Sus scrofa: one gene and its partners. The protein of the gene in region 4 interacts with the protein of the main gene of each other region in a pairwise test. Links are inferred from orthologs where the notes say so. Each region holds a gene or a part of one and is shown on either strand. Other genes may lie near its edges. The genes, in order: E2F1, NEFL, LAX1, NDN, EID1 and FAM131C.

Evidence for each region.
Region 1: the proteins of NDN (region 4) and E2F1 interact in a two-hybrid assay, tested with the Homo sapiens proteins (2 studies listed by BioGRID). The link is inferred for Sus scrofa from reciprocal best matches to the Homo sapiens genes NDN and E2F1.
Region 2: the proteins of NDN (region 4) and NEFL interact in binary tests that used the Homo sapiens proteins (3 or more experiments, as listed by UniProt). The link is inferred for Sus scrofa from reciprocal best matches to the Homo sapiens genes NDN and NEFL.
Region 3: the proteins of NDN (region 4) and LAX1 interact in a two-hybrid assay, tested with the Homo sapiens proteins (2 studies listed by BioGRID and IntAct). The link is inferred for Sus scrofa from reciprocal best matches to the Homo sapiens genes NDN and LAX1.
Region 5: the proteins of NDN (region 4) and EID1 interact in binary tests that used the Homo sapiens proteins (3 or more experiments, as listed by UniProt). The link is inferred for Sus scrofa from reciprocal best matches to the Homo sapiens genes NDN and EID1.
Region 6: the proteins of NDN (region 4) and FAM131C interact in a two-hybrid assay, tested with the Homo sapiens proteins (2 studies listed by BioGRID and IntAct). The link is inferred for Sus scrofa from reciprocal best matches to the Homo sapiens genes NDN and FAM131C.

What each region holds. Positions count from the first base shown.
Region 1 is NC_010459.5:37,180,119-37,183,618, forward strand, and holds part of E2F1 (transcription factor E2F1), read right to left. Parts: coding exon 3,317-3,500; intron 2,267-3,316; coding exon 2,114-2,266; intron 362-2,113; coding exon 247-361; intron 153-246; coding exon 1-152. UniProt on the Homo sapiens protein: Transcription activator that binds DNA cooperatively with DP proteins through the E2 recognition site, 5'-TTTC[CG]CGC-3' found in the promoter region of a number of genes whose products are involved in cell cycle regulation or in DNA replication.
Region 2 is NC_010456.5:8,994,101-8,998,175, reverse strand, and holds the start of NEFL (neurofilament light polypeptide), read left to right. Parts: upstream 1-1,275; 5' UTR 1,276-1,369; coding exon 1,370-2,416; intron 2,417-3,424; coding exon 3,425-3,549; intron 3,550-3,954; coding exon 3,955-4,075. UniProt on the Homo sapiens protein: Neurofilaments usually contain three intermediate filament proteins: NEFL, NEFM, and NEFH which are involved in the maintenance of neuronal caliber.
Region 3 is NC_010451.4:64,459,160-64,463,352, forward strand, and holds the start of LAX1 (lymphocyte transmembrane adapter 1), read left to right. Parts: upstream 1-1,393; 5' UTR 1,394-1,823; intron 1,824-2,280; exon of another isoform or gene 2,281-2,329; 5' UTR 2,330-2,432; coding exon 2,433-2,521; intron 2,522-4,193. UniProt on the Homo sapiens protein: Negatively regulates TCR (T-cell antigen receptor)-mediated signaling in T-cells and BCR (B-cell antigen receptor)-mediated signaling in B-cells.
Region 4 is NC_010443.5:142,411,448-142,414,165, forward strand, and holds NDN (necdin), read left to right. Parts: upstream 1-1,240; coding exon 1,241-2,218; downstream 2,219-2,718. UniProt on the Homo sapiens protein: Growth suppressor that facilitates the entry of the cell into cell cycle arrest.
Region 5 is NC_010443.5:122,809,984-122,813,864, forward strand, and holds EID1 (EP300-interacting inhibitor of differentiation 1), read right to left. Parts: upstream 2,499-3,881; 5' UTR 2,149-2,498; coding exon 1,573-2,148; 3' UTR 501-1,572; downstream 1-500. UniProt on the Homo sapiens protein: Interacts with RB1 and EP300 and acts as a repressor of MYOD1 transactivation. Inhibits EP300 and CBP histone acetyltransferase activity.
Region 6 is NC_010448.4:75,209,321-75,213,292, forward strand, and holds the start of FAM131C (protein FAM131C), read right to left. Parts: upstream 2,801-3,972; 5' UTR 2,606-2,800; coding exon of another isoform or gene 2,584-2,605; intron 3-2,583; exon of another isoform or gene 1-2.

The DNA of each region.
Region 1 (3,500 bases), on a different chromosome or scaffold from region 4:
ACTGCAGTGGTGGGGTCGGCTGCCCTGCCCTCCTCCCCAGAAGCTACCCCCTGGGATGGGGTCTTCCCGGGGCTGATCCCGCCTGTACTCTCCTCAGGGCACAGGAAAACATCGATGGGGCCTTGTTTGCTCTTAAGGGAGATCTGGAAGTTCTGGGCGGAGGCAGCAGGCAGGGCAGAGTGAGGCTCAGCTGACCACCAGCCCGGCCCAGCCTGTCCTGGTCGGGGCCAGAGTCCCAGCTCTTACCTCGGAGGAGTCCACGGCTTGGAGCTGGGTCTCCGGGGGGGCCTTGATCACCATGACCATCTGCTCTGCAGGGTCCGCGATGCTACGAAGGTCCTGGCAGGTCACGTAGGCCAGGGTTGGTGGAGTCAAGGATCACATGACCTTTGGCCTTTAGGGGCCACCCACGGGCACAGCGCAGAAGTCAGAACTCATACCTGTCCGGTCACCCCGGTCCTAGCTGTCTCCCACCTCAGGGCCTGGTGCATAGTTTGTACTCAAGTCTATCACAGGCCCTTGAGTCTCAGTTTCCACATCTGTACTATGAGACCACTTTCCCCTTTGAATCTTAAGGTAATGATGGGCTGCCTGCAATAATTGCATAGAGATTACTTAAATCCAGGCTTGGTTCTGAGAATTTACTCTGACCCATGACCTTGGTGATTAATGGTTATCTCCAAAATGTATAATTTGAATATTTCTTTTTTAAAAAGCTTATTTTATTTTTTTGTTTTGTCTTTTTGCCTTTTCTAGGGCCGCTCCTGCGGCACATGGAGGTTCCCAGGCTGGGGTCTAATTGGAGCTGTAGCCGCCGGCCTACGCCAGAGCCACAGCTAGGCGGGATCAGAGCCGTGTCTGTGACCTACGCCACAGCTCACAGCAATGCCAGATCCTTAACCCACTGAGCAAGGCCAGGGATGGAACCCGCAACCTCATGGTTCCTAGTCGGATTCATTAACCACTGAGCGATGATGGGAAATCCCAAAAAAAGCTTACTTTAAAATAAAGCTTCAGGGAGTTCCTGTCGTGGCGCAGTGGTTAACGAATCTGACTAGGAACCATGAGGTTGCGAGTTCCATCCCTGCCCTTGCTCAGTGGGTTAACGATCCGGCGTTGCCGTGAGCTGTGGTGTAGGTCACAGACGCAGCTCAGATCCCGCGTTGCTGTGGCCCTGGCATAGGCTGGTGGTTACAGCTCCGATTTGACCCCTAGCCTGGGAACCTCCCATATGCCGCAGGAGCGGCCCAAGAAATGGCAAAAAGACAAAAAACAAACAAACAAACAAAATAAATAAATACATAAATAAGTTTACTGGATCTTAAGTGAGAACCAAAGCTGCAAAAATAAATAAATAAATAAATAAAGCTTCAGAGACCCCTGGTGGCTGAGCAGGTTAAGGATCCAATGCTGTCACTGCTGTGGCTCAGGTCATAGCTGTGGGTCGGGTTGGATCCCTGCCTTGGGAATTCCTGCACGCCACAGGCGCCACCAAAAGTTTCTATTTTTTAAACAGAGGACAAATAAAAACTTACATCTCTAACCTGGATGTGACAACCATGAATCACTGTATTCAATCATATTTATTATTACTGATTCTAACTTTCCTTGTTTTTTTTTTGTTGTTGTTGTTGTTGTTGTTGCTATTTCTTGGGCCGCTCCCGTGGCATATGAAGGTTCCCAGGCTAGGGGTTGAATCGGAGCTGTAGCCACCGGCCTACGCCAGAGCCACAGCAACGCGGGATCCGAGCCGTGTCTGCGACCTACACCACAGCTCACGGCAACGCCGGATCGTTAACACACTGAGCAAGGGCAGGGACTGAACCCGCAACCTCATGGTTCCTAGTCGGATTCGTTAACCACTGCGCCACGACGGGAACTCCTAACTTTCCTTGTTTTAATCTAACTTCAGAATAAGGTAATTTTCCCCTTTTACACATGAAGCTGAGACTCAAGAAACGTTAAGTAACCTGTCCAGTGTCACAGAATGAGTAAATGCTGAGCCAGAATTTGTATCCAAAACCAGAACCCTCTCCTGCATCCAGGGCCCAGAGTAGCCCCTCTCTGCCCACTGGGATGGCGCCATGGCCACCTTCCAGGCATTCAAGGATATCGCTGGCTGTCAGCATCCTCGGAAAGCAGATGCAGCTGTGTGGTACAGATTTGGATCAGATGGTCCAGCTGCCGCTCGCTTTCCTGCAGTTGCTGCAGGTCCTGGGTCAATCCTTCAAGCCGGCCACCAATCCCCACTGCTGCATGGCTGCCTCTGCCAGGAGGCAAAGGAGGGGGGTGGTTAAAAGCTCCTTGCCCCTCTTCCCAGGAGCCCTGACCCTCAGTAAGCATCTGCTGCTGCTTCTGTTCTGAGACTCAGGTGAGCCCTAGCCCCTCTCTGGGCCTGCCTCCTCAGTTGGGGAACAAAAGAGAGCTGAAGCTGAGCTCCAAGGCAGGCTGGCTGGGTTCAAAATTGGGCCTGAATGTCTGAACACGCACATGTCTCTCACTGGAAGCTGGATAAGTAAATGGTGGCAGACATGCCATGGAACACTATGCAGGTGTATAAAAGGACAAGAAGGCATTAAATGCAGACATGCAAGCATTTCTATTTTTTTGCTTTTAGAGCCACACCCGTGGCATTATGGAAGTTCCCAGGCTAGGGGTCCAATTGGAGCTACAGATACTGGCCTAAACCACAGCCACAACAATGCCAGATCTGAACTGCGTCTGTGACCTACACCACAGCTTATGGCAAGGCCAGATCCTTAACTCACTGAGCGAGGCCAGGGATCGAACCTGCATCCCCATGGATACTAGTCGGAACTCCCTCTTAATTCCTATTTTACTGGGATCCCGCATTGTGTGGCTGCGGTATAGACCGGCTGCTGTAGCTCCGATTCGACCCCATGCCTGTGAGCTTCCATATGCCACGGGTGCAGCCCTAAAAAGCAAAATAAACAAAGAGAATGAAACAGCTGCATCAAACAACCCCATCAATAGCAACAGAAGCCAAAACAGTGGTTACCTGGTGGTATGCAGAGTGGACAGTGTCTGGGCAGGGGCACAAGGAAACTTTCTGGGATACTGACCCAGATGGTGGTGACCCAGGTGAAGAAATACATAAAGTGGCACTGAGCTGGCTGTGAGATCTGTGTTCTTCCCTGCATCTCTCACCTCAGGGAAGCCACCCCTCCTCTCTAAACCTCGGTTTCCCGGGTAGTAAGACAGGGATGCAGGCAGCCACAGTGGGCACTGCTCTCAGCTCCTCCGGGCTGGCCCGGCCACGGGCCTGCGCCCACCCTCCTGTTGCACTGGTACCTACAGCCACTGGATGTGGTTCTTGGACTTCTTGGCGATGAGCTGGATGCCCTCGAGGACGTTGGTGATGTCGTAGATGCGCCGTTTCTGCACCTTCAGCACCTCAGCTGCCCAGTTCAGGTCGACGACACCGTCAGCCGAGCGGCTCAGCAATTCCAGGAAGCGTTTGGTGGTCAGATTCAGCGATG
Region 2 (4,075 bases), on a different chromosome or scaffold from region 4:
GCTCTTGTAAACCGGAGGGCCGTATCAATGTGCACGCCGCGCACACTATTTCAAGTACCTGGATGTTTCCTAAAAGAAATCCATGGATTTCGGACTGTATCTGTTCTGTATTATCAGAGTGAAACGGGTGTAAGAACCACACGGCTGTTTGCTGTCTGTCCCAGAACGAGAGGTCTCCGGGGCTGAGTTCTGCTCCCGGGAGGTGCGCTCCGCGCTCGGGGCGGTAGCAGCAGCTTCCCTCTGAAAAGCAGCCACCTGCATGGCTTGTTGAAATCATCAGGTTGGGTGCTCCACGGGTGTAAAAAGTGGGAAAGGGGGTTTTAATGCGATGGAGTTGGCGGTGTGGAGTAGGAATTTAGGAGTGAAAAAGAAACAGGCAGCGTGTGACAATCTTAAGTTCCCCTCTGCAGAGCTTGCCGCTGCCTCTGCAAGTGGGTTTCTCTTCGGCTTAGTTTCAAACCCATTCTCTCCTCCACCAACACGCTTCAACATGCTCGAAGTATTCGAGGCTTCATTTCCCAGAAATAAATGAGAAAAATCTAGGAACACTAGATAGATATGAACACTAGGTTGATATGAAATGTTCTAATAGTTTAGACATGCTAAAACCAACAGCTGCAGTGCCGCAGTTTCCCGTGTGTGTGTGTGTGTGTGTGTGTGTGTGTGTGTAGAAGCACACAAAAGAAAAAAAAAATAACCAGGAGAAAGGGATAAAGGGACATGAAGAAAGTGCCAGAAACAGCGACAAAGAATTATAAAACTTTCCTCCATGTATTCCGCATTCATACAGTCTTGGAAAATCATTTGTCTTTCCAATACCCCAAGGCATGGCACTGCCACCATTAACACTGGGGAGGGGGGGAAGGGGGATGATGACCCTTGGTGGGGAAGGGGCGAGTTGGGGGAGGAGAGGAGGGTGCCTCTGAGGTGTAGGGATATGGAAATCTAAGGTGTCAGTAGGGAGTGGGAACCTGTTATTGGGGACACATTCGAATCCGATCAAAGCATAAGTAGGATGGGGTGGGAATAGGAAAAGGAAATGAGTTAGGGGTTACAGCGTCTCACAGAAAACCGAGGGCCTCAGTGAAAAGTGCAAAGAACGAGAGCCGCAGCATCCCCGTGGCCTGTGGCTCGCCCCCGCCTTCCTTTTGCGCAGAATCCTCCCCTTGGCTGCAGCATAGCGCTGCCCCCACCGGCCAGGCGCGCCGTGATCGATCGCAGGCTGCGTCAGAATCCTCCCCGAGTATAAATAGGGGTGGCAGGACCGCGCCGAGCCGCACACAGCCATCCATCCTCCCCTCTCCCTCTCTCCCCTGTTCTCTCTAGGCCCCCATCTCCCCTGCCGGGCAGAGGGGCACCGACCGCCACCATGAGTTCCTTCAGCTACGAGCCGTACTACTCGACCTCCTACAAACGCCGCTATGTGGAGACGCCCCGGGTGCACATCTCCAGCGTGCGCAGCGGCTACAGCACCGCGCGCTCTGCTTACTCCAGCTACTCCGCGCCCGTCTCCTCCTCGCTGTCCGTGCGCCGCAGCTACTCCTCCAGCTCCGGCTCCTTGATGCCCAGTCTCGAGAACCTCGACCTGAGCCAGGTAGCCGCCATCAGCAACGACCTCAAGTCGATCCGCACACAGGAGAAGGCGCAGCTGCAGGACCTCAACGACCGCTTTGCCAGCTTCATCGAGCGCGTGCACGAGTTGGAGCAGCAGAACAAGGTCCTGGAAGCCGAGCTGCTGGTGCTGCGCCAGAAGCACTCCGAGCCGTCCCGCTTCCGGGCGCTGTACGAGCAGGAGATCCGTGACCTGCGCCTGGCGGCGGAAGACGCCACCAACGAGAAGCAGGCGCTCCAGGGCGAGCGCGAGGGGCTGGAGGAGACTCTGCGCAACCTGCAAGCGCGCTACGAAGAGGAGGTGCTGAGCCGCGAGGACGCCGAGGGCCGGCTGATGGAAGCGCGCAAAGGGGCCGACGAGGCGGCTCTCGCCCGCGCCGAGCTCGAAAAGCGCATTGACAGTCTGATGGACGAAATCGCCTTTCTGAAGAAAGTGCACGAAGAGGAGATCGCCGAGCTGCAGGCTCAGATCCAGTACGCGCAGATCTCCGTGGAGATGGATGTGTCCTCCAAGCCCGACCTCTCCGCCGCGCTCAAGGACATCCGCGCCCAGTATGAGAAGCTGGCCGCCAAGAACATGCAGAACGCCGAAGAGTGGTTCAAGAGCCGCTTCACGGTGCTGACCGAGAGCGCCGCCAAGAACACCGATGCGGTGCGCGCAGCCAAGGACGAGGTGTCCGAGAGCCGCCGACTGCTCAAGGCCAAGACCCTGGAGATCGAAGCCTGCCGGGGCATGAACGAAGCGCTGGAGAAGCAGCTGCAGGAGCTGGAGGACAAGCAGAACGCCGACATTAGTGCTATGCAGGTCAGGCACAGGGCAAAGCACAGTGGGGGCGGGAGGGGGCTGCAGAGTCGAGTTAGAATTGGGGTTGGGGGGAGAGTTTAAGGCGAGCCTAGAAAGTGGAGATCAGAGATGAGGCATCTGCATTCAGCTCTTAGGGGGTAGAACTTGGCTCCTGGGAGGCTGTGGGAGGGGGTGGGGGCGCAACTGCAGTCCGCAAAGCTGTGCTTGGTGCAGCCGAATTTCTGTTCTGCATAAACCTGCCCAGGCCTGCAGGGGGTTGGGTGGGGTGGGGAAAGGTTGGAAGCTGGGCGTTGCCTCTGGCCTGCTTCTGCTGTTCTGCGTTCACAAGTGGCTTTACTGCACAGATTGAACCATCTGATTAATAAATACAGCAAAGAGCTCTCATTAGTTCTGAAGGGTAACTGTGACCAGCAGCTTTCTTAGTTTTACCAACCACTTCCTTCCCTTAGCAGGTAGACAGGAATACAGTCAAAATTGTAGCAGGTAATCATGGTCACAGTAAAACATTTATTTTTTAAGGACCTCCAGCTTCAGGGGAGGAGAAAAAATAATATAGAGACATAAAAAATATTTTGGATAAATTTTTAAAATCTCCAATTTAGATACTTTATTCTATGAACAGGTGGATTGCTTATATGTAATCTGGTTAAAGTTAACCAGTCAATGAGAAACAAAGATTTTTAAAAATCAGTTTAGTTCCTTGCAGGCATTTTATGATGATGGTCAGGCTGTATTATTAACAAACCAGAAATTTTTCTTCTATCAGTTTTTTTAAGCTCTCTCTCTCTCTCTTTTTTTTTTTTTTTGGTTTTCAAGATTTACGAAGCTGGATTTTTAGGCAAGAAAAGAAAGGTTTAAAAAGAGAAAAAGTAGTTATTTTAAGGGAGATTTTTATCTAAGTGTGCACCTTATTTTAATTAAACCTAGGCCTTTGCAGCTATGTTATAGTAAAATGAGAGCAGTAGGAATTTATACTTGGATTTCTTTTTTTCTTTGGTCTTCCAACAGGACACAATTAACAAATTAGAAAACGAACTGAGAACCACAAAGAGTGAAATGGCAAGATACCTGAAGGAATACCAAGACCTTCTCAATGTGAAGATGGCTTTGGACATTGAGATTGCAGCTTACAGGTAAAAATGGAGGGATGAAGGTAGCAGCCCTTCAGCCTTAGGAAGGAAATCAGACTTCTTTTACGGTGAATCAGAAACCTTCAAGAATAGTCTTGAAATAATTGGCTTTAAAATAAAAGGCCCTTTTTGGCCTTTTCCAAGAAGAATTTAATCCTGTAATAATAAGACCTGTTCTTAGCTTCCCATTACATTTCAAGTCTAATAGGCAGGGCTATTTTTAGGCCTTTTTTTTTTTTTTTTCTGGTCTCAATCATAACATCCCCAGTTGTTACGTTTTGATAGTCTTCAACCCTGCTCCTGCCTGCCTTTGCCTTTAAGGGTGGCATTGGTGAGAGGGATGAGTGATGGGCTCAGCACACTTCTGGTTTCATGTTTGTTTGTCCCATCTTCCCTCTGCCTCTGCAGGAAACTCTTGGAAGGTGAGGAGACCCGGCTGAGTTTCACCAGCGTGGGAAGCTTAACCACTGGCTACTCTCAGAGCTCCCAGGTCTTTGGCCGATCTGCCTATGGCGGTTTACAGACCAGC
Region 3 (4,193 bases), on a different chromosome or scaffold from region 4:
CTGGGAATCCACTTCCTTGTGGAAAGTGAAGTCAGAGGATCTTCCTTCCTTCCTTCCTTCCTTCCTTTCTTTCTTTCTTTTTTTTTCTTCATAGTGCCATATCTGCGGCATATGAAGGTTCCCAGGCTAGGGGTCTAATAGCAGCTATAGCTGCCAGCCACAGCCACAGCCATGCCAGATCTGAGCCACGTCTGGTACCTACACCACAGCTCATAGCAACACCGGATCCTTAACCCACTGAGCGAGGCCAGGGATCAAACTCACAACCTCATCGTTTCTAGTCAGATTTGTTTCCGCTTCATCACGATGGAACTCCATCTTCTTCTTATTTTAATGGCCGTGCCAATGGCATATGGAAGTTGCTGGGCCAAGGTTTGAATCTGAGCCTCAGCTGTGACCTAAGCCACAACCGCAGCAATCCTGGATCCCTTAACCCACTTTACGGGACTGGGGATTGAAGCCATTGCTGCAGTCAGATACTTAACCCCCTGTGTCACAGCGGAAACTCCTAGAGGCTCTTCTCACCCCCTCAAAATAGTCTTTTCACACCCTTCTCCTTGGACTCTCCCAAGATGAAAGAGAGTGTCAGGAAATTGGTAAAAGGAAGAGGGGGAGGAAGCTAGAAAAAAGCTTTGAACAATCTTCAAAGTTTGGAGCACTTTGTGTAGACATAGCGTGGGGGCGGTGAATTTTCCAGCTTCTGAGACAGGTGCACAACCACCATCCTGGGATGGATCTTCTCTGAAAGAGCTCTGTGAGCAAGATGGCAGCAGCTACGGGCACGAGGGAGGCCCCCAAGGGCCCTGCTACCCCCATAGGAGCTCCATTGTGGCTCAGCAGTAACAAACCCGACTAATATCCACGAGGATGCTGGTTCAATCTCTGGCCCTGCTCAGTGGGTTAAGGATCCGGCATTGCTCTGAGCTGTGTAGGTCACAGAGGCAGCTTGTATCATGCATTGCTATGGCTGTAGCGTAGGCCGGCAGCTGTAGCTCTGATTAGACCCCTATGCCAGGGGTGCACCCCTAAAAAGACAAAGAAAGGAAGGAAGAAGGAGAGAGAGAGAGAGAAAGAAAGAAAAAGGAAAGGAAAAGAAAGGGAAGGGAAGGGAAGGGAAGGAAAGGAAAGGAAAGGAAAGGAAAGGAAAGGAAAGGAAAAGAAGCAGACCAGCTCGGTCAAAATCACCTGCGGTGTGTTTATGAAAACCACCCATCCCCCTCTGCACCCTCTACCCATGAATCAGCAGCAGGTGCCAGGGATCTGCGTTTGTTTCTAAAAAACACCTCCCAGTGCTCCTTAGACCTGCTTAAAGCACACAATGCAAATCTGGAGGCTTATAAAGCGCATAAATTCTCAGCAACCCCAGGTGAACAAATCGCAAACCCCACCACCTTGCCCCATCTTGAATCATGCTCCCCACAGACCACAGCCACCGGGAAGATGGGGCAGGCAAGTTTGCTTCTATCTTATTAAGAGCTGAGCAGCATTTCCTGGGCCCCAGGCTTCATTAGCACGTTGGTGGTGTTGCTTCCTGTAGCTGACTCTCTGTTTCCATTCTGGCAAACTGTTTGTTCTCTTCTCTTTGCTTTGGGGGTTGGGGGAAGATGAGCTTCTCACGGAACCTCTCTCCAGCTTCTCTTTCCCCCGCGGCACCCCTCATGCTCTGACGAGGCAGGGAACCCGGCTTCTCCCTGAGCAGCTGTGCTGGGGAGTCCACACCCGGATGAGCTCTCCCCTCTGGCATCGAAGACACATCCAGGTAGAACCAAACCTGTTTTGTATTTTGGGTCAGCTCAGCCTGACATTTCAGGAACAGACTCATGGTAAGGAGTTTGTTGGGGGAGAGAAAGTTCTAGATTGGAAGCTTTAGAAAGGAAGAAATAAAAACTAGTAGACTTTTTCTTGTGAGGGACTTTGATGAAGAAAATTTTAAGAAGAAATTTTGAGAGTAAAAAGTTGTACATTAGGGAGTGGGGTTTGTTTTGTTTTATTTTGTTGTGTCTTTTTAGGGCCGCAACCCCAGCATATGAGCCTCCCAGGCTAGGGGTCAAATCGGAGGTGTAGCTGCCAGCCTGCACCACAGCCACAGCAACACAGCATCTGAGCCGCATCTGCAAATTACACCACAGCTCACGTCAACACCGGATCCTCAAACGCACTGAGCGAGGCCAGGGATCTAACCCACATCCTCATGGATACTAGTTGGGTTTGTTTCCACTGAGCCGCAATGGAAACTCCTGCCATGCTTATCTACTAAAAATAAGTGGTTATACCACACAGGTATGTATGGAAAACACAAACCAATTCTGCCTTTTGTCCTGGGAGTCAGCAATTAAGGAAGAGCCAGGAAACGGGCAGACAGGCTGGCGAGCTAATGATGGTTGAGAGAAGGCTTGGAAGGAGAAGCTGAAGCCAGAGAGGGTCCGGGGATAATGGGCATGACCACGCCGGCCATCTCAGAGGTCAGAGGGAGGACCTCACAGCCCAGCACTCTACAGGGAACCCTCAGCACCCTGGACAGGTGAGTGGCCACGGTGGTGAGTGCTCCCCTCCGCTGATGTAGACAGAATGCCCTGCTTTACCCCAGCAGCGTGGCCAGCCTCACAACCAGGCTCGGGTCCCCAGAGACCACTTAATTCTAGGCTCAGCGGAGTTTGCTCAAAACCGCGGGGAGGAAAGGAATGGGCATTGAGGAGAAAAAGGCGTTGTTGGGGGAGAGGAACTGCGATAAGGCGGCGCTTCCTTAGAGCTGGCAGCCCTGGTTGAATTTCTCATGCTCAGAGGCCCGATGGCTGTCCTCTGTCTTCCTGCCCCAGGTCCCACCCATCACTCCTCAGAGAAACAAAAACAAAAACTAGTTCCCACCACGATGGACACAAAAGGCCCACTTTTTCCACAGATGTGTCTCTCGGTTCTAACATCTTGCTGTGACAGATGAAGCTATCTACAGAAAAAAAAACAAACTCATGGACACAGAGAACAGGCTTGGGGTTGCCAAGAGGGAGGAGGAGGGAGTGGGGTGGACTGCCAGCTTGGGGTGAGTAGATACAAAGTATTGCATTTGGAGTGGATACGCAATGAGATCCTGCTGTACAGCACAGGGAACTATATCCGATCACGTGTAGTAGAAGGTGACAGAGGGTAATATGAGAAAAAAAAAAATGTTTTTATACATATGACTGGGTCACTTTGCTGGACAGCAGACATTGACAGAACATTGTAAATCAACTATAACAAGATTTTTAAATAAAGAAAAACTTGCCATGAATAAACATGTAATCATAGGTATGCTAAAGATAGGTCTTTAGGACCTAGAATCTCACAGAACTCATTGTAGATATAAATTTTTATTGCCAAAGGCTTCCACACCGTATTAGCAAAAATAAAAAGTCCATCAGCTGCTGAAACTTTCACACTGGGAGGTATACATTTCTGCACTATGATAAGAGTACAATTTCTGTGCTATGATGAGAATACAGCAATAATATGTAATAATGTGATTTTAAATCACTGTCGTTTGGGGAGGTAATGTTATGACCCATGACAAACAAATACCCGTCACTGGCAGGTGGACAGGGGCACTGATGGGGAATGAATTCATAAAGTGTCAGAACCCTGCAGCGCCCCCCCCAGCTGTATTTTGTTATTCATTAATTTTTTTGCTAATTCATTCCTTCATTCAGTTAACAAATACTCATCAGGCCCCTACTGGCACTGCTCCAGGCACCAGATGAATAGGACAGACAAGTCCATGACCTCCTAGAGCTTACAGTCAAGTGGAAGAGTCAGATAGGAACAAAGGAACCCATGCACGGATCACATAATGTCAGCCAGCCATAAGTGCTATGAAGAAAAACCAAAGCAGACACAAGGGACTGAGAGTAGTAGGGTGTGGCCAGGGAGGATCAGTCTGAGGAGATGGCATTTCAGAAGAGACCTGAATGAAATGAGGGACTGAGCCATGGGAGAGGGAGTGGCAGGTCTGAGAGAGGACCGTGCTCTGCCAGGAAGAGCACGGAGGCCTGACCTTCGGGATCAGAGGGAAAGTGATAGGAAACAAGGCCAAAGGCAGCCAGAGGCCAGAACAGAAGATGCCATGATGTCCTCCTTGGGTAGGGACCATGGATGCCATCCCAAGTGTGACAGGCAATCATGGAAGTTTGCAAACAGAGGAGGAGCTCAATCTGGTTTAC
Region 4 (2,718 bases):
GGGTGTGGCTGTCAATTTCTGGAACCAGTCAGTTTGTGTGAAAGCGCAGAGGTGGGGTCTACACGAACACACCCGTGAAGGCTACATCAGTCATAAGGGGAATTAGGGTCCTTCCTGGACAAACAAGTAGAAAGACATCATACTAGTCTGTGCTAATAAATACAGCAATCTTTGTGTGATGAGATCCTAATCAAAAAATTAAAATTACATCAAAATTACCCAAGGGAAGTAGAAAAACCAAAATCAATGACCATTCAAGCACCTAACAGTATCATTAGTACATTGTCTTCAAGAAAGTTTCAGTTGTACATGTATTGACTACATTCTGCATTTTTCCTTCATAACCCCCTGGACTTGGCAGTCAGGAAATCTTTTTTTTTTTTTTTTTTTTTTTTTTTTTTTCCCCATAGCAGGCTACGGGTAGAATTGGAGCTACGGCTGCCAGCTGACACTACAGCCACAGCAACACTGGATCCAAGCCCTGTCTGCAACCTACACCATAGTTCATGTCAACATCAGATCCTTAACCTACTGAGCAAGGGCAGGATTGAACCTGCATCCTCATGGATACTAGTCAGATTCCTTTCCGCTGTATCACAATGGGAACTCGCAGTGAATCAATCAATTTTTATTGCTATCTTTCATGATTCTGATATCCCGCATCTTTTTCAGAGTTGACACATTTTCTTGGGTGACCCTGATTGTTCTGTCAGTTTAAATTCTCACACTTGTTATCCAAAACCCAAGCTTATGTGCCAACCTGGGCCTTTCTCTGAAACTCACATCTAACTTGATTCTACATATACCCAATTGAACATTTCCTAAGAAATTCAGCTTCAGCATCTTGGAAGCTTAAGTTTCCATCTTTCCTCTTAAACTTGCTCCTTGTCCAGTGCTCACCCATGTCGCTCCTCCCCCCGGCCCCAGGACCGCCTCCTTAGCCCAAACTGGACGACTGTGGGTCATGAGGCCAGTATTCCACTAGGCCCCCTACCCCTTTGGGACCTCAATACACCCCAGCCCTCCAGGCGCCCCGCCCCTACCGCCAGCCGGCAGGGCCCCCACAGACCACGGATGCGCAGGCGCACTAGCCTGTCCCGCCGCCGCCCCGCCCCGCCCGGCCGCTGCGGAAGGCGCCGCGCGCAGCAACGCGCACTTCCTCTCCAGGAGTCCACCGAGGGAGCGCAGAGTCGAAGAGCTCCTGGACGCAGCGGCCGAGCCCTTGCCAGACGGAGCAAACATGTCCGAACAAAGTAAGGACGTGTGTGACCCCAACTTTGCAGCCGATGCCTCCCACTCCGAGGTGCACAGCAGCCCTGGGGTGGCCGGGGGGCCCTCTCCGCCTGCGTCCCAGGCCGCGACCCTCGCAGGGCCAGAGATCCCTCCTGTAGGCCCACCCGACGCCCCTCTGGCCTCGCCGCCGCCCCAGGCCCTGAGCGAAGAGGGAGACCCAAAGGCTCTACAGCAGGCCGCGGAGGAAGGCCGCGCCCACCAGGCCCGGAGCACAGCCCAGCCCAGCCCAGCGCCGCCGGCCCCGGCCCAGCTGGTGCAGAAGGCACATGAGCTCATGTGGTACGTGCTGGTCAAGGACCAGAAAAGGATGATCATCTGGTTCCCAGACATGGTGAAAGATGTCATCGGCAGTTACAAGAAGTGGTGCAGAAGCATCCTGAGGCGCACCAGCCTCATCCTCGCCCGAGTGTTCGGGCTGCACCTGAGGCTGACCAGCCTGCACACCATGGAGTTCTCGCTGGTCAAAGCTCTGGCGCCTGAGGAGCTGGACAGGGTTGCTCTGAGCAACCGCATGCCTATGACAGGCCTCCTGCTGATGATCCTGAGCCTCATCTACGTAAAGGGTCGCGGTGCCCGTGAGAGTGCTGTGTGGAACGTGCTGCGCATCCTGGGGCTGAGGCCCTGGAAGAAGCACTCCACCTTTGGAGATGTGAGAAAGCTTATCACTGAGGAGTTCGTACAGCAGAACTACCTGAAGTACCAGCGCGTCCCCCACGTCGAGCCCCCTGAGTATGAGTTCTTCTGGGGCTCCCGTGCCAGCCGTGAAATCACCAAGATGCAAATCATGGAGTTCCTGGCCAGGGTCTTTAAGAAAGACCCCCAGGCCTGGCCTTCCCGCTACAGGGAAGCTCTGGAAGAGGCCAGAGCCCTGCGGGAGGCCAACCCCACTGCCCACTGCCCCCGCAACAGTGTCTCCGAGGACTAGCAAGGTCTGGAGGCAGATTGATGGTTTCTGACCCTCACCAGGGTGGTGGAGGGGTGGGGGTGGGACATTAGAGTATTCAGGATTTACAGTGCAGTATTTCACGTGTAACTTTTACGTTTTCAGTACAGTGCTTTTATACCTTTTAATGCAATGTTGTATTCATTTCAGTAATAATTAGGTAGTGTGTAGGATTCATGCATGTTTGTTTATAAGTAAGCTCAGTTGGTGCTTTCGCTTTTGTGCTACCTTTCTTGAATTTTTTGTACCAGAGACGTGCTAAACTTATGAAATACATTGAGACATTTTCCATCTTATTCTTTTACATGGGACTGATGATGTGTATGGGGGTAGACAGGTACTAGAGAGTTTGGACGAACTCACCAGTAAAGCTGGTCTAACCAAGAGAAAAGTCAAGACCTCTCTCTCTGTGATCTTGCTGGGCACAGGAAACATCTGTCTGGAGTGTGGTGATGTGGACTTAAAGGGGCTCAGTATGGACA
Region 5 (3,881 bases), about 20 Mb from region 4:
TGAGTGCCACAGTTTAACCTCTTTCCCCACCTCTGCTCCCATGCTAGTGTTTGAATTATGATCATCCTTACTTGCTAGTTCTGTAATTTACAGAGAAGAATCCCCTTCCCTGAAAGACAGGATAACTGTAACATAAGTAGGCTCTGAGTGGTCGTGTTGTATTGGCTGTGTCCTTTACTGCCATAATGGAGCAAAAACATCTGGTACTTTTTCACTGGGCACAGCCTTCTGACTGCTATTCACATAGAACTTCAGCAATATGCTTATTGATTTGGTAGGTTGTCCCAGGTTGGTCAATTCTCTTATGGGAATTTACTAAGTTTAATTTCCACCAATTAATTTGTAAATCAGGTATGTGAAGCTAGAGAACTTTCCCTTTTTGTTTTTTTTTTAGTGGTTAAATTTAAATCATAAAGTGGTTGCGCCCATACATTAAAGTAGTATATAATACAATAAAAGTAGAATTAGAGAAAGTATGTATGCAATACCATTAGACAAAATACACAGAACAAGAAATTTTTATTATCTGGAATGCTGGTGCATAACCAATAACAAGCTTAATTAGAGGAGGAGACAGAGGAAAAACTTCAGATACTGAGGTGAATTTCTGGGCAGGTTTAAAACCCTTAAGGGCTGACAGCATAATTGTTCATAAAGTCTTTTGTAGATGTAGGGCTCTCCTTTTACTTGACAGTTTTCAGTTAACAGTTCTTATATTATGAAGTTCAACCAAAGTCTTTTGCCTGTAAAGTTACATGAAAAACAAAGAGCAAGTAAAACAGAAAATTTCTCTAGTATATAAAGATGTTAGTTTTCTTTGTACTTTGACATTCTTAGTTTGAAACTTTATTAAGGACGTCTTAATTTTTGACTTTTAAAAATGGTCAAGACGGTAAATTTTCTTGAATTCAAGATTACAGTAGTGTTATAAATGATCAAGATATATGTACAAACAATATCTCAGATGCTCTTGGAAACACGCTTTAAGATATAGCACACATGATACACATTTCTTTGGAGGCTCGATTATTCTTTTGCAATACTGAAGAATACTCAATTTACCTTTCGCTAAAAATTTAGCCTTTGGATAATAACTACAGCTTGGCTTAGATGAATCACAAAATGACATCTTCAGTATGCTTTCAGTCCAAATAACTCAGACATGTGGTGTCCAAAGTTGGATAAATTAGTTACTTTTTCTCATATGATTAACATCAGTGGGCTCTTGTACCGGCCATGTGTCTTGGTTTTTCTTGCAAAGCCATCCGGAAATGTGAAAGATACTTTCCCAAATGCAAGGAAATTAATCTAGATCAGTAACAGAGTCAAAGCCACAAGTGTTTCACGACATTCTTGAAAACAGGTTTCAACAGTACTGAGATCCTTTTCCTTTAACAATTTTCTTCCTTTCCCATAACTGTGAAGTCACTTTCCTAGTCTACACTGCCCCCCCCCCCATTTTTTCTTTTGGATCAAGTGTTTCATTGGCACGGAACTATTCGGAATGAACCCAAGAGACTGGAATGTTGTTGGGTCTCTCCTCAAGTAGTTTCCTCCTCTCTTCACAGCATACTACTCTCTATCAATAATCTCATCACAGCCGAGTTCTTCGGTCAGACGATTGACAACCATAAGTGAAAAAAGCTCCTCGATAAAAGCCAACTGATCGAACGGGGTCTTCTCATAATGCATCTGAAATCCGCCCCCCAGAGCTGCTTCTCTCGCTCTGGAGGTCCTCAGAAACATCTTGTTGGCTTCTTCCAGGGCCGCTGAGACTCTGTAGCCCGCACCACTCAGCTGCTCCTCTTCCGGATAGTCGTAGTCGTCCTCCCAGTCATCAAATTCCTCGCCCTCGTCCTCGCTCTCGAAATCAGGGCCCGCGATCTGGCCCGGGCGCTCCCCAGGGTTGGGCCGGTTAGCGAGGCCTCGCTGCCCCTGCGGCTCCGCCATTGGCTGGGCCACCTCCTCCTCCATTGGGCCTTCCTCCTCCAGCTGTGGCGGGGCCCCGGAGCGGGAGGGGTTCGGGGACGGCCCCCGGCTCCCGCTGCCTACCTCCATTTGCGGAAGGTCGCTCTCGCCGGGCATCACATCCATCTGCAGGTCATTGCTCTCCTCATAAAGCTCGGACAGCTCGTGCATTTCCGACATTGTGCAATCGGCTAGACCTCTCGCCAAGCGTTTTCTGCAAGATCTGGGCTACGCGGCCGCGCGGTTGTGCGCTTGCGCACACGCCGTGGGCTTGCGTGACCTTGAGCGTGTGCGCGACCCCCAGAAATCGCCTCCTGCTTGGCGCGCTGCTCAGTCGGCAACCGCTAGCTGTTCGCTCCTGGGGACTTACGGGACCTTGGTCCTTTCAGACTAAATACACTTACAAACGAGAGCATTGCTTAGCCCCTGCCTTACTTAGTCATTCTGCTTCTGATGCTGTAATCTTGAAAACACTTTACACATCTTCTGTAACACCCCTTAACCCTCCTCCTCCATCGCCTTCCTCCTTCCTCCCTCCGCTTTTCGCTCCTCCTCCTTCCCCCATCCCCAGGCAATCACATCTTCTCCTAGGTTTTAACTACTTTTTTCTAGGCGCAAATGACTGCTAAATCTGCACCTCCAAAGCAAAAGATGTTCTGAACCACAGAGCAATATATTAAGAATTGATCCATCCATCTCTAATATTAAAAAAAAGTTAAATGAACAAATAAGCATATTAAAGGTGTTCTACAAAGAAAAAATAAATAGAAGAAATACTTGCTCCTGTTTCTTTTTGCAGGAGACATAACCTTACACTGTTAGCAATTCGGTGTATATTCTTTAAATTCCCTCCCCCCCTTTCTTTGCATTTACGTGGATCTCTCTATTGTCTTCTGGAAAAGTCTTTTTTTTTTTTTTTTCTTTTTACATATCTTAACATAATTGTCTTCAACTTTCAAAACAAGGAAACGAAAAAGCCCTCAGCAATGTCTTGAAGATTTAGCAGTGTTAGTGTCCACAGACATGTGTTTTTCCTAGTATGCTACTTGTATAGCAATGTTGCAAATGACCTAACAATGCACAAATAATTTTATAATTTTTGATATTTAAAATTATGGGTAAAAAAAAAAAAAGAAAAAACTATGGGTAAATGAACATCCCCAAATGACAATATTTCTCTCAAATGAAAACCTAGAAGTGCAAAGGTGAAATTGTAGGGTATTCATCCTTTAGTTTTAATAAATGTCAAATTGCTCTTCAAAGTTGCTGTGCAAATTTAGGCTCTAGCCAGCCATATTTGAGAATATCCACACCCTTGCCACACATTATTTTGTTGATTGTTAACAATTTTATCACTTAAAGGTGTATTATTTTATTTTTCATAGTCTTATTACTTGGAAATTATCTTTCAATATGTTTAGTGAACCTATGTATTACTTCTGAAAATTAAATGGTCTTATTTTAGGTTTGTTTATTTTTCTTATTGATGTAGGAATTTCTTATAAACTGAGTGTATGAATACTTTGTTTCACATGTTGCAAACATTTTCTCCCTGCCTCTTGTTTCTTGTTTCAAGGGTCTTTTAAAAAATGTTTTATTGAAGCATAGTTGATATATAATGTTGTGTTAATTTCTGCTGTATAGCACAGTGGTTCAATTGTACATATAAACATATCCTTTCTTTTTCAGATTCTTTTCCCATATAGGTTATCACAGAATATTGAGTAGAGTTCCCTGTGCTATACAGCAGGTCTCCAGTGACCATCCATTTCATATACAATTGTGTCCATATGCCAATCCCAAACCACCAATCCATCCCTCCCCCCATCTTTCCCCTTTGGTAACTATAACTGTTTTCGAAGTCTGTGAGTTTGTTTCTGTTTTGTAAATAAGCTCATTTTTTATCATTTTTT
Region 6 (3,972 bases), on a different chromosome or scaffold from region 4:
TGCTTGGAGCAAAGGGGCTGTTATTAGCAATTGGGGCAGATGTGGACGCTCGGGGCTCATGGAAGCTGCCCTGGGTCTGAGGGCCGGCTGCGTGGTACAGAGGCCAAGGGCCCAGGCTCTGGAGTCAGTGTGACTGGATTCAAGTCCTGCCTCTGCTCTTTCTTACCTATGGGGCCCTGGGCCCCGCTCAGTTTCTCCATTGGTAAAATGGGGGCGGGGACGGTACATACCCTAAATTAGCTAGTTGTGCCTAGAATGTTCCCACTGGGGCCCTGGGAAGCCGTAAGCACTCTATGGGTATCAGTGACAATTAGAGGGGTGGGTGGCCTCCGCTTAGTGGTCAGGCCACGCAGAACCCTGAGCGCTGGGACAATGGTTGTCCTCGGCTCACGTGGCTCACAGCTTCTTTACCTGCATCCAGCTTGCCTGCATGCATGAGGAGGCTAGAAGCGGGCCTACTCCCTCAGGAGGGGGACAGGGTCTGAAAACACAGCTAGATCTAGAGGTGGCCCTCAGGAGCCCCAGCCACAGAGGGAAGGGTGGAGAGGACCTCTCTTAGGTCAGGGTAACCTCAGACAGGCATGGCAGAGGGTTCCAGCACCAGGTCCAGGGGATGAGGTGGTCAGAGGACCTGGTCCCCAGCCCTGACACAGCCTGGCAGCCTGACCTTCAACAAGCATCTCTTCCTCCTCGGGTCTGACGCTCACAGCCAAGTCCATCTGGGGCCCACCTGGGGCTGGGCCTCCAGCACCTGGCACGGGATGGCTGAGTGATGGGGGAGACAGACAACAGGGAAATACCAGCTCCCCAACACCTGGCGCCTGCTCAGAGCTTCGAGGTTTCTAGAGACACGCGGAAAGCCTGTTGGTTCTAAAGAATTCTTAACATTCCTCTCTCTCTCTTTTTTTTTGTTTGCTTTTTAGAGCCACACCTGCGGCATATGGAGGTTCCCAGGCTAGAGGTCTAATCGAGCTACAGCTGCTGGCCTACACCTCAGCCACAGCAATGCAGGATCCAAGCCGCACCTGTGACCTGCACCACAGCTCATGGCAACAGCAGATCCATAATCCTAACCCACTGAGCGAGACCAGTGGTTACTAGTCGGATTCATTTCCACTGCACCGCAATGGGAACTCCCCCTCACTCTTAAAATTCCCTTCCCTTATGGTCATTCTGTACCTTCAGAGCAGGCGCTGTGCTGGGCTCATCGCTCTGGGGGCCCGGCATGTACATGGTGCCTGGCACACAGCAGGTGTCACACTAACATCAAGCTTCATGAATGAATAAGTGGCTGAACCTCAGAACAGCCTAATCCCCACCATGACACCCTCCTGAGACATCCTGAGCCACCTATCTGAATGTCCCACGGGGACTGGTGGGCAGAGCCCCGGAGAGGGCAGAGGGTGGGGGGAGGGGGTGTGCTCCTTCCCCAACACCCCCCGGGATAGGTCTCCTCCAGGGCCTGCCAGCCCCTCCTCAAGGCCTGGTCATCCCTCCACATCTGGGTAAGCTGCTGGGGGTGACAGGTAAGGTGGCAGCGCCCCCCAGGCCGTGATTGGGGTCAGTGGGTTTGGCTTCAGGCTGCAGCGCTGAAGCCAAGGCCTCAGTCACCCCCTCACCGCACCCCAAAAGGCTCACCAGGGTGGGAGAATGGCCCAGCCAACCTCTTCTAAAATGCCACTCAGCAGCCTGTTGGAAAGCTGGTGGTGGGGAGGGTTCCAAAGGCCAAGCTGCCCAACCCCCCCAGCTTTGTGTAGAAGTCCCTGCCACTCCCACCCTCTCCCACTCACTATGGTGCCAGGGCAGCTCACTCCAGCTCCCCAGACACGGCCTTGGGGGGAGCCTCAGGGTTGAGGCACTGGAAGAGAGCAGGAGCTTGCCAGGTCAGAGTGGCTTTTAAAGACAGACAGAAAGGCCCAGGGGTGACTGGGAACATCAGCTGTCTCTGTCCCTTCCTGTCCCCTGACCAAGGATGGGGGTGGGGATGAGGAGTTAGGGATGAAGGTGGGGGAAGGGGAACCTTCCTTATAACCTGTTCATCTCCTTTAACCCCTTGTGGCCAGTGGGGTCTGGGACTCTGAAGTCAGGGGCGTGGGGTAAGGAGCACAGAAGTGGGGGCACTGAGCTACTAAGGTCTATGTCTTGGAGGGCGTGGGAAGGAGGGTCGGCTTGCTCTCCCGCCGTCCCGCAGTCCCTCCAGAGAAGCCAGGAGAAATCAGAAGCCTGCCGTCCCTCCGAGGCACACGGCAGGGGGCGTGTGGCTGCTGGAAAGGTAGCGACCCTGCTTCTGCCACCTGGTGGGGTGTGGTTCCAAGCGGGGCTGCGGTGACCTCCCCACGCTCGCTCTCTCCGCGCTGCTGCCCCCTCCCACGCCCTGACCCCCTCGGGGCACCTTGTCCCCTGGGACTCGGCGGGGGGCGGGGGGGCGGGGTGTGCGGCTGGCCGCGAAGGGCGGGTCGTCCCCCTACCCCCACCCCCACCCAGGTTCTCCCGAGAGGCCGAGGGGTCGTGCCTGCGTCCCCGGCGCGGGGACCCGGGCCCCCGATTCCTGCTTCTCCTCGCCAAGATCTGTGGCCCCCTCACCTCGCGACACGCAGGAGCCCATCACGGGGCCTCGGGGTCGGGCCGCTGAGCCTTGAGTGCGTCCGGCCGCCGGGCGCTCATGTCTGCGCGGGCCCGGGGCTCACGCGCGGCGCTGGCGCAGCGGAAGCGCGGATTCGCAGGGAAGGGCCCGGGGCTCCGCTCCGCTCGGCCGCCGTTCCCGCCGGGTCGTCCCCGCCGCTGCCGCCGCCGCCGCCGTGCCCGGCTCGCCGAGCGCCACCGCCGCCCGCGCCGCGCCCGCCCCTGCCAGCCGCGGGCAGCACGGCGGGCGGGGCGGCCCCGGGGAGCGCTCGCCCGGAGCCCCGAGCGCGGAGCCCGCGAGGCCGCCCCGCCCCCAGCGCCCCGCCCGCAGCGCACCTGTTGCCGCCGCCGCCAGGCTAGGGGCGGGGGCAGCCCCGGGGCAGGGGGCAGGGGAGCTGGAGGGGGACCATAGGCCCTCGGGCCTCCCGAGCCACCTGGTGACAGGGGCTGAAGGTCAGGGAAGAGGGCGGTGGGGGCAGGGAAATTTCAGCATTTGGGCCACGAAGAAGTACACGACATTCAGATGTCTCTTGTGCCCAAGTGGCAGGGGAAGACACAGGCTCACGGAGATCAGATGCCTTGCCTGAGGGCCCTTAGGTGTCAGGGACATCATCGGTGGCGGGGGGGGGAACACTGGCCCAGGCTGGGGATACAGAGGGTGGGGATGAGCGTTCGGATCCCTCCACCGGGTCTCCTGCAAGCGCCGGCAGCGAGGTGAGAAGGCCCTTTGGGCTGAGCCCGTGCAGAATGGCCAAGTCCTTTCTCAGACCCGCAGCTCCCTTCCGATGGGGCCCGCAGTGGCCCCTCTAATCACTCACACTGGCTCTCTCACATCCCTACCCACGAACACAAACACACATGGGTACACCCACACACACACACCCATATTTACACACACTGGCATTTACACACAGCCACACACTCAGACACACCCCCAGCTCCTTAGCAAACCTGCCCATGGCCCACAGATCCTCAGCTTCTCAGCGCTCACTTTTACATCCTGCCGACTCACTCCATCCGTACACGTTCTTGGGCATCGGTTAGAGCAGGTGTCCTTGTGCCCCTTTTCCAAGTGAGGAAGCCAGGTTCACTGGTTCTCTTTAAAAACTTGGGGATGGACCAGCGGGGTTTGAAGGATGAATGAGGTTTGAGACAAGGGGGTGGGGTGGAGCTGGAGGCCTCTAGCCGGGCTGGATCTGGGCCCGGTGGGACTGCCAAGGGGTGGGGGTGGGGAGCAGTGGCGTGGATGCTGACGTTATCTCCTTGCCCAGGCCCGGTGCCCTCTCTGGAGTAAAAGCCTGGTGGAGAATGACCCTGGCCATGGGGGTCGGGGAACTATTGTGAATATGG